Linked DNA regions of Daphnia pulex. The protein of the gene in region 2 interacts with the protein of the main gene of each other region in a pairwise test. Links are inferred from orthologs where the notes say so. Each region holds a gene or a part of one and is shown on either strand. Other genes may lie near its edges.

Evidence for each region. The genes of interacting proteins can lie anywhere in the genome.
Region 1: the proteins of breast carcinoma-amplified sequence 3 homolog (region 2) and PHAF1 protein CG7083-like interact in binary tests that used the Homo sapiens proteins (3 or more experiments, as listed by UniProt). The link is inferred for Daphnia pulex from reciprocal best matches to the Homo sapiens genes BCAS3 and PHAF1.

The regions. Positions count from the first base shown.
Region 1 is NC_060019.1:5,647,358-5,656,144, forward strand, and holds PHAF1 protein CG7083-like, read right to left. Parts: upstream 5,746-8,787; 5' UTR 5,648-5,745; coding exon 5,584-5,647; intron 5,433-5,583; coding exon 5,350-5,432; intron 5,286-5,349; coding exon 5,158-5,285; intron 5,090-5,157; coding exon 4,713-5,089; intron 4,649-4,712; coding exon 4,533-4,648; intron 4,472-4,532; coding exon 4,376-4,471; intron 4,309-4,375; coding exon 4,226-4,308; intron 4,146-4,225; coding exon 4,052-4,145; intron 3,986-4,051; coding exon 3,839-3,985; intron 3,771-3,838; coding exon 3,700-3,770; intron 3,624-3,699; coding exon 3,599-3,623; 3' UTR 3,523-3,598; downstream 1-3,522. Other genes in the region: programmed cell death protein 6-like, read left to right, coding at 1,367-1,446, 1,519-1,625, 1,716-1,868, 1,935-2,050, 2,129-2,230. UniProt on the Homo sapiens protein: Plays a regulatory role in autophagic activity. In complex with BCAS3, associates with the autophagosome formation site during both non-selective and selective autophagy.
Region 2 is NC_060019.1:8,235,830-8,242,775, forward strand, and holds breast carcinoma-amplified sequence 3 homolog, read right to left. Parts: upstream 6,675-6,946; 5' UTR 6,515-6,674; intron 6,464-6,514; exon of another isoform or gene 6,441-6,463; 5' UTR 6,298-6,440; coding exon 6,288-6,297; intron 6,244-6,287; exon of another isoform or gene 6,151-6,243; coding exon 6,020-6,150; intron 5,951-6,019; coding exon 5,789-5,950; intron 5,722-5,788; coding exon 3,994-5,721; intron 3,929-3,993; coding exon 3,837-3,928; intron 3,773-3,836; coding exon 3,642-3,772; intron 3,575-3,641; coding exon 3,392-3,574; intron 3,330-3,391; coding exon 2,890-3,329; 3' UTR 2,056-2,889; downstream 1-2,055. Other genes in the region: UNC93-like protein MFSD11, read left to right, coding at 1-56, 121-243, 312-480, 541-623, 690-742, 816-1,007. UniProt on the Homo sapiens protein: Plays a role in angiogenesis. Participates in the regulation of cell polarity and directional endothelial cell migration by mediating both the activation and recruitment of CDC42 and the reorganization of the actin cytoskeleton at the cell leading edge.

The DNA of each region.
Region 1 (8,787 bases), about 2.6 Mb from region 2:
TAATTATTTTTCATGCTTCTAGGCCTTCTACCCTATTGTTGATGAAACTATTACCATTATTTATAACAAAATTGTTTATAACTTGTGGACTTGTGGTGTACTCGATTGATAGCGGATGGACTCGAACTGTAGCGTACTCGATTTTTTAGCGTACTTTTTTTTTAGCATTTGATTATCGATTCGATCTCGATCACGCTCTATAAATTGAAAAATTGGTGTGATGTCATAGATAAAGACCACGGGTCTTTATAATTAGTGGTCTTTAGGTCAACCGCTTCCTCTTGATCAGAAAAAAATAAGCGATCAATCGTGATAAACTAATCGATCGCGTAAACTGGTTTTCAGTATGTTTGGCACCTAGATGGCACCGGCGTTTCTCCCTTTTTCAAATTCTTCTGAACAAATACTTAAATTTCTCGTTATATTAATTATCAGTAATAGAAACATTTAGCAAGCCAATAACTATTTTTTTTTTTTTGTAAAATCTGATTTACCCACAAAAAAATTATAGAGCCAACATATAGGGCTGTGGCCCGGGCGATGAAAACCCGGGCCACCGCCCGGGCTGAACGAAAAAAAACCCAACCCGACTCGACCCATCGAGGCATTTTTTTTAACGGGGCGGGCGACGGGTTGAACTCCCGGTACCGCGGGCCAACCCGAGCGGTGGCGCCATCTAGTAGTCACATAGAGAAGCTCGTTATTCTCTATGCCTGCGGCCTCAAAATATTGCCGCCAAATGCTCTACGATAATTTCGTAGCATGAAAAGTAGGATAAGTGGTAGAAAAGGGCGTTCAGGGGTGTTCAGAAGACAGAATTGACGTGTCACTGTTAGAAGAAGAAGATAATTAAGAAATTTAGGGAATTTTTTTAAGTTTGTAAAAAAAAAAGTGTGTTTGACCCGATTTTTTACCCGGGCCGTTACCCGACCGGTAAAAATTTTTTGACCCATGGGTTGGCCCGGGCCAAACCCGTTCACTCAGTTGGCCCAACCCGCTCCGACCCGCGGAAGAAGAAAAACCCATCTAAAAAACCCATTGAAAAAAAACCCGCTAAAAACGTCCCGGGCCACAGCCCTAAACATACGGATCGTCGATTATCGTCCAAGACTCCTGTCTTTATTTTACAGCAGTCATGGCTCATGGGTTTCGACTTTGGACTTGGATTGACTGTTGAGTGTTGAGTCATCAATGATTGAGACATCAAGTTGATTCAGTGCAACTCAGTGAATTAAGTTGACTGTTGGCCACTACAAAAAAATCCCTTTACTTATTAATAACACCCTTTGGTATCGGGCAGTTTAAAAAACGTATTGTACTTGAGTGAATTCTATTTATAAACGTTTAGTCGCGTTTAGTCTACACAATGGCTTATCAGCACTATCAAGGGCCGGGTGCGGTTCCAGCTGCTCCAAATCGTGATTTTCTTTGGCAGGTGTTTCAAAGGTTAAACAATTTTGTTGTGGGTTAAATTCAGGGAGAAAATTACAACTAAAATATATTTATTGAAATTTTTAGAGTTGACAAAGATAGAAGTGGAGCAATAACTGCCGAAGAGCTGCAATCAGCTCTATCCAATGGAACATGGGCTCCATTTAACTCGGAAACTGTTAGACTTATGATTGGTATGTGTTTGACAGCTGTATGAGAGGCATTAATGATAATTTTGTATCCCTTTGTACTAATGTTCCGTTTTGAATTGTGCACTACTACAGGTATGTTTGATCGTCAACAAAGAGGAACTATTTCCTTTGAAGATTTTGGAGCAATCTGGAAGTATGTCACTGATTGGCAAACTTGCTTTAGAAGTTTTGACAGAGATAATTCGGGGAACATTGATGGCAATGAACTAAGAACAGCACTTACAAGTAGTTTGTCATTAAAGTTGGCTGACAATTTTTAAATATACTAAGTGTTCTTTTGTGTTAATATAGGTTTCGGCTATCGTTTGCAAGACGGAACTCATCATATGTTGCTTCGAAAATTCGATCGTATGGGAAAAGGAACGATATATTTTGATGATTTCATTCAGTGTTGCATCGTTTTACATGTAAGAAAGATTTTTACATATCTATGATTTAAATGAAAGTATCATTTTTTCATATATCTATATTGTTTTCAATGACAGAACTTGACTTCAGCGTTTCGTCAATTCGATACCGATCAAGACGGTGTCATTACTATCGGATATGAACATTTTCTTCAAATGGTCCTCAACACCCGCGTATAAGTTTCAGCTAATATACCTAAGCTACTAAATTTACCACTTCCTTATTGCTGTTTGTGTATGTTTCTTTGCTCATATAGAGATTCTGTAACAGCCAATATCTTGATTTTTCCTGGCAGTTGATTGAACTCTTCTCCCTTTTGAATAAACTTGCATATGAAATGTTATTTTACTGTGATATAACTACTGTGTGAATCAGTATAACACCTTGTGTGCGATCTGATTGCTTGATAATATTGTTGCTCAAGGATCAGCATCAATCGTACACAGCAACGGAACTTTTCGTAATAGCACACAACGCACTGTAAACAAACTACAGCAATAGGGCATCTATTTCGTATCTGTCGTGTAAAGATAAAGCGATATAATCAAGATAAAATGAGTCATTTTAGAAGGTCTGTTATGCCAGCGCATTGTCGTAGAGGTAAAGTGTGCCTGCCCTATTCTATTCGACTTTTTTAACATGTTTCCAATATTTTTTCCCTGACAATCCAGAAAATAGAATACGGAAATAGAATTTAACCATGAACAAAAATTGATGTTAGTAAAAGTGAGTGATTATTTAGCTTATCATTCACTTCTGCAACTTTATATGTTCAGATTCTTTTTTGGGCGTAAACGGGAAGTTTACGAGGGTACGAGTAATTTATTGTCATTGTAGTCAGGTTTGTCCTCAAATCGACATAACCCATACTTATTAGCCTACGTCACCAAATTGTAGAAAATATTTCCGCGATGAATGTATAGGATAGTTGGCAACATTACAGAACAGTTTATTAATTATAGCATTTGTGTTAATAGTAAATATTTAGCAGTCGTATTGTTATTCAACAACTTCATTTTTATTGAGCGCACGTTATTTCGTTTATACATGTAGCCTATCTTGGACCTTTATTTTCTGTACCGTTAATTCTTTATTCATCATCGTGGTATTCTAGAATAACCAGACGCATTTAGTTTCATGATATAAGTTATTTTATTTTATTTTATTTTTTTAGATTGATGATGCGATAAATCAAACGTTCTGACTTCTGAGTTATCGTGAAAAATGGAGGCATGCAAAGACCTTTTACCCTATGTTTCGAAATTTTACAAGGGTGCTACACATATTTCAATATACACTGTTACAATTTACTCTTTTATCAGAACAATCAATTCAAACTTCTTTTTTTTTACTCCTGAACTCATAACGCACAGCCATCACAATAACTGATTGTCTTATAGGCTAGTCCAAACTCCAAACTAGCTATATGAATGTTTGAATAAGACATTAACATTGGAAAAGTAATTGGTGCTTAATGTTTAGTGTGTTTTATTACATTATTTTGCGTTCAAACAACATACAATCACGAAAGAGATGCGCACTTAAGATCAATTCATGGCGTCAGTCTGTTTCCTGGGCAAATACAAAAATCCTGTTTATATTATATTGGTAATAAAATTTTCCAATTATAGGACTAATATCCTTTTACGATTGTAATTCATGCGAGATATCATCGGATGCGTAAAGCGTTACAGATGCTATAAGGTTATTTGGCATCACCTTACATTCAAAAAGAGAAATTCATTAAAAGCTTTCAGTATTTTAGGAATCTAAAAATCGTTATTCACCTCGAAAATAATATCCTCAACCCCGTAGCAGAACGTAGAACCGAAGGGGTTTGTTGTATTCGTCGATGACGATCGATGTAAAACAATCGGACGTGAACTAGGCTGCACTTTCTCGCAAACTTCATCCCAACGTGAATAAGCAGATACCTACATTCGTAAATAATTTATGACATTGGTTTCACGCAAGAACATATATGTGAATTGAAAACCAACAGTGATAAATGTCGGCGATAAATCGACCAATCTCGAATTATCGACGGAAGTGGCCTTGGTCGGCAACTGGAGCTTAAACTCACATCGGTGATACCTAATTGAGAGAGAATTTTAAAAAAAAATAATTAAGCATTGACCAGCTCCCACGCATTCACTGCAAAATGTTTCACTTACATATTGAAATTGTAATGTCCTGGATAATTCGTATGCAGTACGAACTTCTTCAACTTGTGATATTTCCCATCGAATAAAGCATCCTTTTTTAAAACGGGAAATTTGTAATGAAACTTTTAAAAATGAAATCTAGAATAATTTTAAGTATACTAATCCAAGAGTGAAGTAGTTGTAAAAATAATCCGAAAAAGAAGCTGGAGCTCGACGATGCGCCTGTGGACTGTGAATCCTCATTTTGTCTTCGTCCTACCATCGACGATAAGAATTAAATTTATAAAGTGCATGTACATATATTTGCACATTTTACTTTATAAAACACGCGAGATGGAGCTCCCAACAGCGTAAGCACATCTTCGGCAGAAGCTCCAAAAAATAATTCCTGGACACAGGCATGTCGTCTAGGTTCCAATACTTGAGATGGACCTAAAACGCAAAATTACATTGATTTGAAAGTTAGTTTCTAAATTTATCAATGTTTGAGCCGAACCTTCACAAATAATGGAGAGCTTGATACCAGATGTACATCCATTATGACGAATAACTTCGAGCCATTGCAGATAAGGATGAGAAAAAAAGCAGGATATCGGTAGCGAAGGTGGTTTGCTGTCAACCAAGCTGTTTCCACTGAAAATGAACATCTTTGTTGCTATAGGAGACGCGCCGTTGGTGAATTGAAGCGATCCAAGTCCTCGAACGTATCTCGGTTCGCTAGCCTGTTCAACTGGAAAGGTAAAAGATAGGCCACGGAAATTTAGAGTAAAGATTCTTTTCTCAGGATCATATATTCCAGGGTGTGTAGCTCCAAAAGAATGATCTATTTGATCTATGGTTGGGATAACATCAGTTGAATTGAAAACCAGGCCACTATATCAAAATAGGGCATGATTATTTCTCCTAATCTTGTCTAAATTTTAAAATATTTTTACTATTACCAGTATTTCAGTTTGATGAGATTCATGGCAAAAATCTCAATCACTTTTAGGCGCTGTGAAACTGAATCAAATAAAAGGCGAATTCCATCCAAAGTAAGACTTAAAATAAGGTCAGAAGCCAAAGGGTCCTATACAGCAAATAACATGTATGTTCACGAAGTTTGTGTGTGTATGCTAAAAGATTTTACTTACATTCTCATTATATATTACTTGGACTCTCTTCATAACTGCTACCTGAGACATGCAGATGCAAACTGCTTGAGAAAACTGCATTCCTATAATGAAGATTGAAAAGTACACAAACCAATATAAGTATACTGTGCGATTCCGTATGCTTGTGTACACTCAATGGCATAACGAATATTTTGCAATTCAAGAACCAAAAACGATTACTAATCTCAGAGAATTTTTTCCTCTAAACCTTACCTAATATAAACTCCCAATGTTCGCAACCCAACGATCTCTCAGGGATTACTTCTAAATCAAGCATCTTAAGATTAAGAACTTTGCAATATTGTTGAAACGTAATTTCCGTTCAGTCGAACCCAACACTGAGGACTGAAAACGCTGAAAACAATAATAATGTTTTGGTTTTTCTTTGTTGTGGAACAGCCGTCATCTAGTGGAGAAAAAGGCAACCAATGTAAATATGTCAAATTCCGTTCCCAAACAGCTGTTGAAAGCCTTGAAGGCTATACAATCGATCGACAATCCAAAATCCAATGTCCATTCTAATATTCAGACTTTCAGAGTTTAATTAAGTAGTTCGGCGGTTTTTGTGGTAGCTGTTGTCCATTAGAATCACGTTGTTGTATCTCAGTCACGTTTACTAGTAATTTGCTACTAATTTTGTAGATCATTTCTTTTGTTAATCAATACTCTTCAAAAGCTGGAATGTCGAGGTTGCTGTTAGCATTAATTAAACGGTAAGATTTCGATTCTACCTTGAATACTTCTGTGAAACCTACAAATATTATCTACTGCAATTATTCGGCATAATTTCTTTTTGAGGTTTCTGGTTGCGGAAGTTTGATATTATATTTTTGGCTTCGATTGAGCTGCTATTCTTCGTTTCGTTTTTTATGGTAGCTAGCTGTCGTTTGAATTTGTTAATTTTTTCATCGTCTTGTAATCTTGTAGCTAACTTGTATTAATATTTAATGCCAAATTATCCTGCAGTAAAGATATTTTCCCGTTCATATGTTTACTTGTTGTGCTATAATTTGCCGATCTTTCGTAAAAGAAGGGAATTTTTGTTTAACCTTAAGGAAAAAGATTTTTTCCCCGCCCACGCCCCACGGCAACTATAAATTTGTCACGTAGACCAAAAGTGGCTAAGAAACCATGCACCATTGCAACTGAAATAGACAAACTGACAGAGAAATGAATTAGATTATACTGTCCTTAAAGGGGATTTTTTTTTTCATATGAATTTATTCTTTTATTTTTGTCAGAATTTTTTTGGCTTTTAAAAAAATCAAGGGGTTAGCAATTGAAATGTACAGTACTATTTCCTTATTTTAAGCAAAATTTTTTTTTTTTTTTTAATTTTGGGGTAGGCTAGGCTTTCTTTTTTTCTTACAGGCCAAATTCAAAGGCGAGGGACTGAAGAATCCAGGAAACGGCTTTTCACACTCAACTCTTCCCCCTTTTTTCTTCCCCTTATCTTCTCCTTATCAGCTCAAGTGGAAATATTGTTTTTCTTTTATTTTGAATACAATTTTAGTTGCGGAGCCCTTGAAAAAAAAATGAGTCTACGGGCTAGTAATGAAGGCCAATTATTCCGTTATATTGAGAAAGGCTGAATAATTTAAACCTCGGTACTTGCTCCATTTCTTGTTGGTTTCGGTCTACAGTTTGGTCGATTTGATAAGTGATACCATGCGTTATCGACTTCAGTAGCATACTGTATTACTGTAGCTATGGCTGCATATGGTGACCATTCATTACGTCACAGCTGTCTGCTGTTTTTTCCTTCCCTGATGTCCTTGGCTCACGAACAACAATCCAAGGCAAGGAATTACTGCGATCAGTGCCTTAAGCGTTCTCTTTCCCAACAGAATCCTTACAATTCTTGATTCTTCGATCAAACTTTTCTGTTCAAAAGGGCATAATTCTTGGGAAATAAGAAATGTTGTATCAAATCTGCCGTAGCCGATTCCTTTACTGTACCAAAACATTTAGCGCTAAATTTGAACTGGAAGGACCTGTTGCTTGATTGAAAAACAAAAACCCCCCACACAACGAGAAACCTTGTAAAGATGTGCTACTCATTTTGTATCGAACGTTGCTTTTTTCGGCTCTCCCTGTTTCATTGATATTCATAGTACGTATGTTTAAAAAATGTTTACCGCGGTCACGTAGTCGCTATCGGCTCTCCTTGGTAGACCTTCATCGTTGCGAAATTTGTTTTTCTCCACTGGTTGTTTACGTCTTTGTTTTGAAGTCAACAAGAGACGGATACCGGCCATAAGTAGAATTGAGGGAAGGTCCTAGGGTTCAGCTGCTTTTGGGTGTTCGAGTTTTTTTTTTAAGTGGATGGAGGGGGGGGGGGGGTCGGGTGAGCATCAGAATCGCCGCATCATTTTTCGACTTACATAACACAGCGTGATCATAGCATGTTTTGCTTTCTTCACGAGATCAAAATTGTAGATGAGAAAGCCAGCGAATCTTACGTCTAATGATTCCATAAATGAAAATTTTCCACAGCAATCTTCAAGCTTGTCCGGTTAATCCATTAAAGCGCATTTGGACTCAAATACGGGAAAACACTTTTTATAGTCGTAGGTGAAAGTCACGAAAATTGTCTCTCGTACTTAATTAAACTACATTTTTTTTGTGTGTGTGTGTGTGGGGGGGGGGGGGAGGAATTACAAGGCAAACAGGTCGAACGATTTTTTTTTGTTCCTTATTTTACCTGCAAAAACTTTAACTAGAAAACACAAAAAAAAAAAAAGAACAACACATTGTAGACATGCATGACGATTGGACGGACTTCCAGGAAACCTTTAGTCTGCATATTGTCATACCACACATCACTTGCAAATTCTACTTGCATAAACTTTTGGATTTTGTTTTTCTATTTTCTAGTGATGGGACGTGACGCGATTTACGTTCACGTTCACGTGTTGTTGACGTGTTTACTTGCTTTAGACTTACTACTTGAAATCATGTTTAGACTGCTGTTTCTTGTTTTGTTCAACAATTTCGCAATCGAAGTGTTTTTCTGTGTTGTTTGTATCGGCTCTGTCTGCACGGGTCGACTACGAAATATGTGGAAGTTGAATGCTCCACTTATTGGCTTAACCTGAACCCATTTCGTATCAATGCGTCTGTATACATTTAATAGTGTGTGTCAATGACGAGAGCAATGCTGCACGATTTTTTTGGGAGAATAATACAAATTGCTAATTGAATAATGCAGGTTTAATTTACAATGAAAAATAGATTCAGTCAACGGAATCAAATGATTAGCTTACCGGAGTCTCCGGAAGAGAGTGACAAACTCATTCGCATTTTCGTACGTCATTTCATTTGTGACGGCCTAATTCAATTGGGAACGTAAACAACTATTATTTTCTGGTTGTTTGTGATCTCCCAAGGTTATCTCCGCGTGAGTTGCCGACCAAT
Region 2 (6,946 bases):
CAAACTCTTCTTTACGAAGGACATGGGTCTACTCTCTGTAGCATTCTTTTATATTGGTAATTCGATTGAACCTTTTACCTTTCCATTCAGAAACATGTTTTTTAAATTTCAATTTCTTAGGTATCGAATATTCCTTTTTAAGCGGCGTCTACAGCCCCAGTATTGGATTCACGCTGGAGTTTGAAGACAGCAAACGGTTGGTGGGTTTATCCGGTATTTTTATTGGCGTTGGTGAAATCGCAGGTAAGGTTATACATAGAAATGACTGTCCGTTTATTTATGTTTTAATGACTTTTGGTTTTCTTTTTAAGGTGGAGCTCTATTTGGAATTCTAGGCTCGAAAACTGTTCGATACGGTCGTGATCCCATTATTCTGACTGGATTTTTAACTCAGGCCCTCGGCTTTTTCCTCATCTTCCTCAACATTCCAAATAACGCTCCATTTGGGGATACCACTGATACTGGTTTCATTACAAGCAGGTATGAAATATAGCTTGTACGAACTTTATTGATAAAGATATATTTTATTTTTCTATGCAGTCCATTTGTAGCTATTTTCAGCAGTTTTTTGGTAGCCTTTGGTGATGCTTGCTTTAATACGCAAGTCTATAGTATTCTTGGTGGTAAGTACAAAAATATTGGATAAAAAAAAGGATGTGAATTTATACTCATCTGTTTTTTGCTATTAGGTATTTATCCGAACGACAGCGCACCAGCTTTTGCTCTCTTTAAGTTTGTTTCGGTAATTAGAACCCGTTATTTTATTTTATCTCTGTAGAATTTAAAATCTAACGTTTTAATTTTTTTCGCATTAGTCTATGGCATCTGCCGCAAGCTTCTTCTACAGTCCATACATTGGAATCCACCCACAGTTAATAATCATTGGAATTCTTCTACTAGCTGGAACGGTCTGTTTCTGGCTTGTCGAATGGCGAAGTGTTTACAAACGAGCTCACCTGATAGAGACGAGTAATCCCGACTCCGCAATGGATAAGGATTTTGATTGATTTGGAATTCATTATTTATGTTCTGGGCATACATTCTATTACAAAACGGGCGAGGGTAACTATATAGACGAAATATTTTTGTAAAATAACTTGATCATCCATTTAATTATTAACTCAAACTTTTGTGCTATTGTATTCATGTCATTCTTTCTTAGTTTATTCATAAAATAGTCGTGAGGAAACGTGATAAAATGTTTAGGTGAAAAATAATTGGAGACAGCAAAAACTGAATAATTTTCACGGAAAATTTGTCAACGGCGGAATTTTGCAAACATTGAAATATTGTGCTGTGCTGTGCACAGTGCTTTCATCACACCACGTCCTAGTGCATCATACCTACTGCTACATCAGTCATATCGGCTCTTATTGCAATGGAATTAGGAATACCGTAAATTAGAAAATTTTTATTTGTTCAGTAAAAGTTCAGTAACAAGATTTTACCTGCGACAACACTGAACAATCAGCCTTCAACGCACGAATCTAAATGCAGACTGACTTTGAATCAGGTAGGCTCAGGTGATGCATCATAATTCAAACCATTTGTAAGACATACAGTTTGTAGGCTTAGGGTGTCTTGTCATTTTGTTCTGGTTAATGATGGAATGCTGACTGAATTCCAATCATTAGAGAGCAAATGTGGTTTTGGATCCATATGTAATATAGTTTGCTACACTACATCTTAAGCACAGTTTTCCTAAGGTTATTTGTGTTTGCATGTAGACTCAAAATAGGAAAGGCCATGCAAGAAAGCATTTCTAAAAAAAGTATCCACTTGAGCTTCCTTCTTTCTCCTTTCAGTAATCAATCGGAATGCTTCCTTGCTGCTGCGCTATCTTAGAAGTAAATAGGTGCCGCTATATCCTATAGACATTTTTTTTTCGACAAGCTGATTTTAGTAGTAGAGCTTCAGAGTATATTTTTTGAAATAATTTTATTCGTCAGCTTTCCTTTTAAATGTGGTGGACACGAATTTTCCGAAATCGATCGGGTTGATCTACAAGAAAATTAGAAATGCAAATTGTAATAATAAATAATAAGTTACCATTCCTTGAGCAGGAAATGAATTTGTATTGACGTTCGTTCGACGATACACATCAACGTGACATCACTGAAATTTTGTTGTGGTGTGTGGTCAGTATGTTATAAACTTATGAATGGACTATTTATATTTTTTGATGATTTGTTAATTATAACAGCATGTGAAAAAATAGGTTGAAGACGAGCGATGGGAATCGATGAATGATATATCACGCTCGGACAATCAAGCGAGTTAACAGTTTGAAGTCAAGTCAGCAAGTTTTTTCCTATTGAGGCTTTTTGAGGGTTAATAGGTTATTTACCTAAGTTCCGTTTTCTTATCAAAGCACGCGAATGCGGTAAGACGATTGAGATCTACCGAGAGATTGGTGCAATTAAAGTCTATTCTAATAGGAAAGAACATGATTATTATTAGAAGGTTAGTTAGAAATTAGGCGGGGATCGCCTTTTGTGGTTAACTGAAACGTAGACATCGCACCAAGAGCTCACATCTATGCATCACTTGAAAACACAGCATTTTTTAAATTCAAAAGAAAATTTCAAAATGTAGACTAAAAATTGTGTTCTTTTTTATGTCTTTTTCCCGAGTGCGTATGATATATCATACGAATTAACGTTTGATGCATGGCTGAATAATATATTCAAGAGAAAAATAGAAAAAAAGCCGTGTAACAACGATCAGAATTAAAAGGAAAATTATTTCCATGCATTCTGTCATGCTATATCTCACATTTAAAAGAACCACCAAGTTACAGGGGACAAAAAAGAAAACCCTAATTGGTAAACCACGCATAGAGAAACCCGAAAAAGGAGTACAACAACTGACCCAAACCAAAGCCCCAACTCACTTCTTCTTTTTGCGATTTTTCTTACTTTTACGGCCAGGACCAGAACCATCCTGGTCAAAAGAGGGAACAGTCACAACGTCCTCTTCATTAGAACTACTTTCACCGGCGCTTCTTGTCGCATCGGGAAAGAAGGCCACATCAACTGGCACTGAGCCACTGACAACTTCATCGCTGGCAAAGAAACTGTAATCTTTGTCACCGCAATCCTGGTTGTCCTTGACCGCCGATGAATTGCGGTTAAGAGAGTCAATGGCGAATTTTGAGGGCATGGATGGTGATCGCAAGCACGTCTCGCTTTCTAGCTCAAAATCCAGAAGATCCTCGTCAATGTTGAGCGATGCCGGTGGGTTCGACGAGGAAACTGATGTTTGAGGCCAGTTGAGACGTTCATCATCCATGAAATAGTGTGTTCGACGTTCACTGCCATCATCTTCTTCTGAACAAGGCAAACTTTTAATTCTATCAATTTTAATATGTATAGGGAAAGAAAAGACGTACCAGGAACATTCGATCCTACTAAAGGCATTTCTTGCATTGCGTCGGCTAAATTTTCTTTCAATTGCAGTTCCATTTCGACTTTGGGGACCATATCGGAAATAGAACTCTCGGAATCACAACGACGCGTGCCATAGCGTTCCCGCCCACAACCAGTCAAGAACCTCGGAGACTGTTCGTAACTACCTGTAAAACGCAAATAAGTATTATAGAATATCGTTGTGTTATTACATCAAGTTCAAATGTTATTTACTAGCTGATCCTTCGCCAGTAATCACAGGTAGTCCTTGAATTGGCATTTCATTCTTGTCTGGCATATTTACTGGGTTAGAACGAGCTGGACGTGTCAAAATATCTACTTCAGAGGCCTCTATTTCAGCAAGACTGTTTGAAAAAATAACCCAAATTATTGATGTTGTCACAAATTGAAAAATTGTACGTATAATACCTGGATGTGCTGTCACGTTTAAGAGTCTTAAATGTAAACTGAGGTCCCATCCAAAGTCTTCTGTGCGGCCCAGCATGCGTGTTGATTTCAACCTAACGATTCAATGCGGTTAAAGGAAATGGTAAGGTAAAAATTCAATAAGAAAAATCAAACTTACATGTGCTAGCCAGGTTTCTTGCATCTCTTTGCCAGACAATGGGGCGCTAGTTGAAGGAGATTCGGTTTTATCGTCCGATTCAGGTCCGTTGGTGATTAGGGAAAGGATGTGTGATGCTAAAGGAGGTGGTAGATCTGCGGCATTGTAGAGCGGTCGATGTATAGGCCACTGGGCCAGCGGCACAATGTCCAGCTCTATGGAGCTCTTGTCGCAAATCTTTTCGCGCGGTATCCCAGTCGCCAGCCGAGGTTCGAAGCCATACTCCACCAGGGCGCCATGGCACGACATCACATAGAGTGATTCAGCAGTACGTCGCTGAAGACGGTCACGATGGGCGGCTGAACCTCCGCCTACATTTAAAACGTGACCTGCGAGTGGTGCAGCTCCCCGTGGAGGAGCGAAACAGCAGGTGACCCGGACGACTCCCGTCCCGTCGTCCAAATCGGAGAACTTGCGAGAATTGGAAAGCCCAGGAGAGGCGGGAATGCCTCGATTTCCAGTAGCTCCACCCATGAAAGACGATCGCAGTTGTACGAGTGGGACAACAACTGTTGGATGAGGATAAGGTGGCAGTCGTGGATTGGGATAGGGCAAGAGAGTCGTCGATTCCAACGGGCGACTATTATTAGGTGAACCGGAGAGTACGGGGCTACTGCGACCCGATGAAGGCGTGTCGTCCAAACCTGCACTACGATGGAATCGACTGAGGCGGTTTACTACTCGTTGAGATGTGTGTGTTCTCACGCCCACAGAACCACCGTATGGACTGATTGGGAAAACATGCGTCGTGCCACGCATCGTCGTTACGGCCACCCAACGCGAGTCGGTGGCAAAGGCCACGTCTTGTACTCGAGCCGTAGTGTCGCCACGATAGAGGGTGTACAAATGGTGGACGGCACTTTGCTTCGTACTACAAGGCGCTGGATGCAAGCGAAATATGTGAAAGTTGTGTCCCTGCTTGTCGGCTGTGAATAGTAGGGTCCCTGAAGGGTCAAACGCCAGGTAACTGATGGCCTGATTGGCGTGAGCAACAAAGTGCGCTACCACGCCGTCAACGTCCTCCCGAAGATTGACTTCTCCGCGTGCCAAACCTTCCAGGTCGATGACAGTCACTACACCGGGCTGAGGGCCCTGTTGGGACGATGGCGATGCCGACGAAGAAATGTTTCTTTGACCAGTCAGAAATGTTTCGCCAAATTCTCGGAGTCCTTTGGTCAAGCTCTTGGCAGCGTGGATGACGGTGGCTGTGTAAGACTGAATCCCTTCACCCTCGAAACCGCCTCCGCATCGGTGAATATTAATGAGTCGCTTTTCCGCATAGGCCAGCCAACGTGAACCCAAGGCGACTGGGTTTGAGTAAGGGCTGGAACTAGGTGGGTAGCAATGAGTCAGTACTACTTGATCCTCGAATGTAGTACTGCTGAAGACGGCCACCTTCTCGGGGAAGGTTACAACCACGGCACGTCGATTGGCTAGTATATCCGCCACGGGGTTCTTGAAGCGAATAGTTTTGACTTGTTCTCCCGTTCGTAGCGAAAAGAATGCCACCGTATGGAGTTGGGCAGCAGGGCCAGTGCTTTCATTCATAGCTACAATCGGACGTTTGGCCGCGAAGAGATCTTCCGATATGTTCGAGACTGGATTGGGCAGTAGGCGAAACACTTTAACAGGTCCTGAATTCCACGAGAGAATCTCTTGAGCCTCTCCCGATGCTTGAATAGTCCACACCTAAATAGCGGGAAAATAATCCATGTTTCTAATTTCCATTATTACTTGTACATGATGTGATTGTTACCTGAACTCCTGTGTTGTAGCCCAGTATGAGCAAGAGAGGTAGGTTGTTTTTGTGCAAAATGGAACTCTGCGAATGACAGTCCCCACAATCCATTTGCTCAATTTTAGCCCACAAGATAGGATCTGTTGCCTCCCCAGTAGGATGGTTGCATCCTCCATAAGCCTTTTCAAAATAAAACGGAGTTTGAGATCCAGCACTGACATTTTAAAGAACAATATTTCTTGGTACCACCTGTGGGACAACTTCATGGATGAATCCAGCCATACTTTCCATGAAAGACTTTTCAGCAACAGATTCCGGCCTGAGAGTAAGCCCTATAGGCCTGCTCAAGCGCCGCTGTGGGGACTCACTCGAGGACATCTCTGATTACAAAGAAGAGACTGACTGAAAAACCGTTTCCGAGAGTTGAGAGTGTCTCTTCTACTCTCACTTTTAAATTTATCCCAGAAAACCACCTAAAATTTAAAATCAAAGCTTCAAATGGAGAGTCCTAACTCACCCGTCAACATCAAATAGCAACAGTCAGAGAACGGTCGAGAAGTTTTAAGTGCGATAAGCAAACGAAGAGAGTAGGTCAATAGCAAAAGAACAACAAAGAAAAAGATTTGTTGACAAGGGCTATCCAAATGAGAATGATGAGGAGTAAATGTAACTAAGAGATGAAAATAAATAGGCCTTTAAAAACCAAGTGAAAACAAAGATAAAGTAAATTTTTTAAATGTGTACCTGATTTTGGGCAGACTACGTACGATCGCCCAAAAAACAACGAAGTATGATGATTTCACAGTCGATGACCTAAAGTTTACCTAGTTTTTTCTACGACTTACGTCTGCAGCTTGTTTACGGGAAACAGCTGAGTCTGTTTTTCATTGTCCCTTTCAGGGCGTATGCAAAATTGGAAATTATGTAATTTTATTCATTTGAAATGAAGATAAATTCATTTTGAATTTACAGTTATTTATTTAAAATTAGTATTGAGCACAAATTTTACATTTTAAGTCAACTTTTGTATTTAATTTCATTAATATTGTTAAATCCTTTCATGGATTGCGCGGAATTCATGAAGTGAGCACCATCTATCAACCATGTTGGGAATTTCTACGACCAAAGTGGTAGTTCAGTTGCTCACTGGATATTAGCGCTTCTTTCACTCTGTCG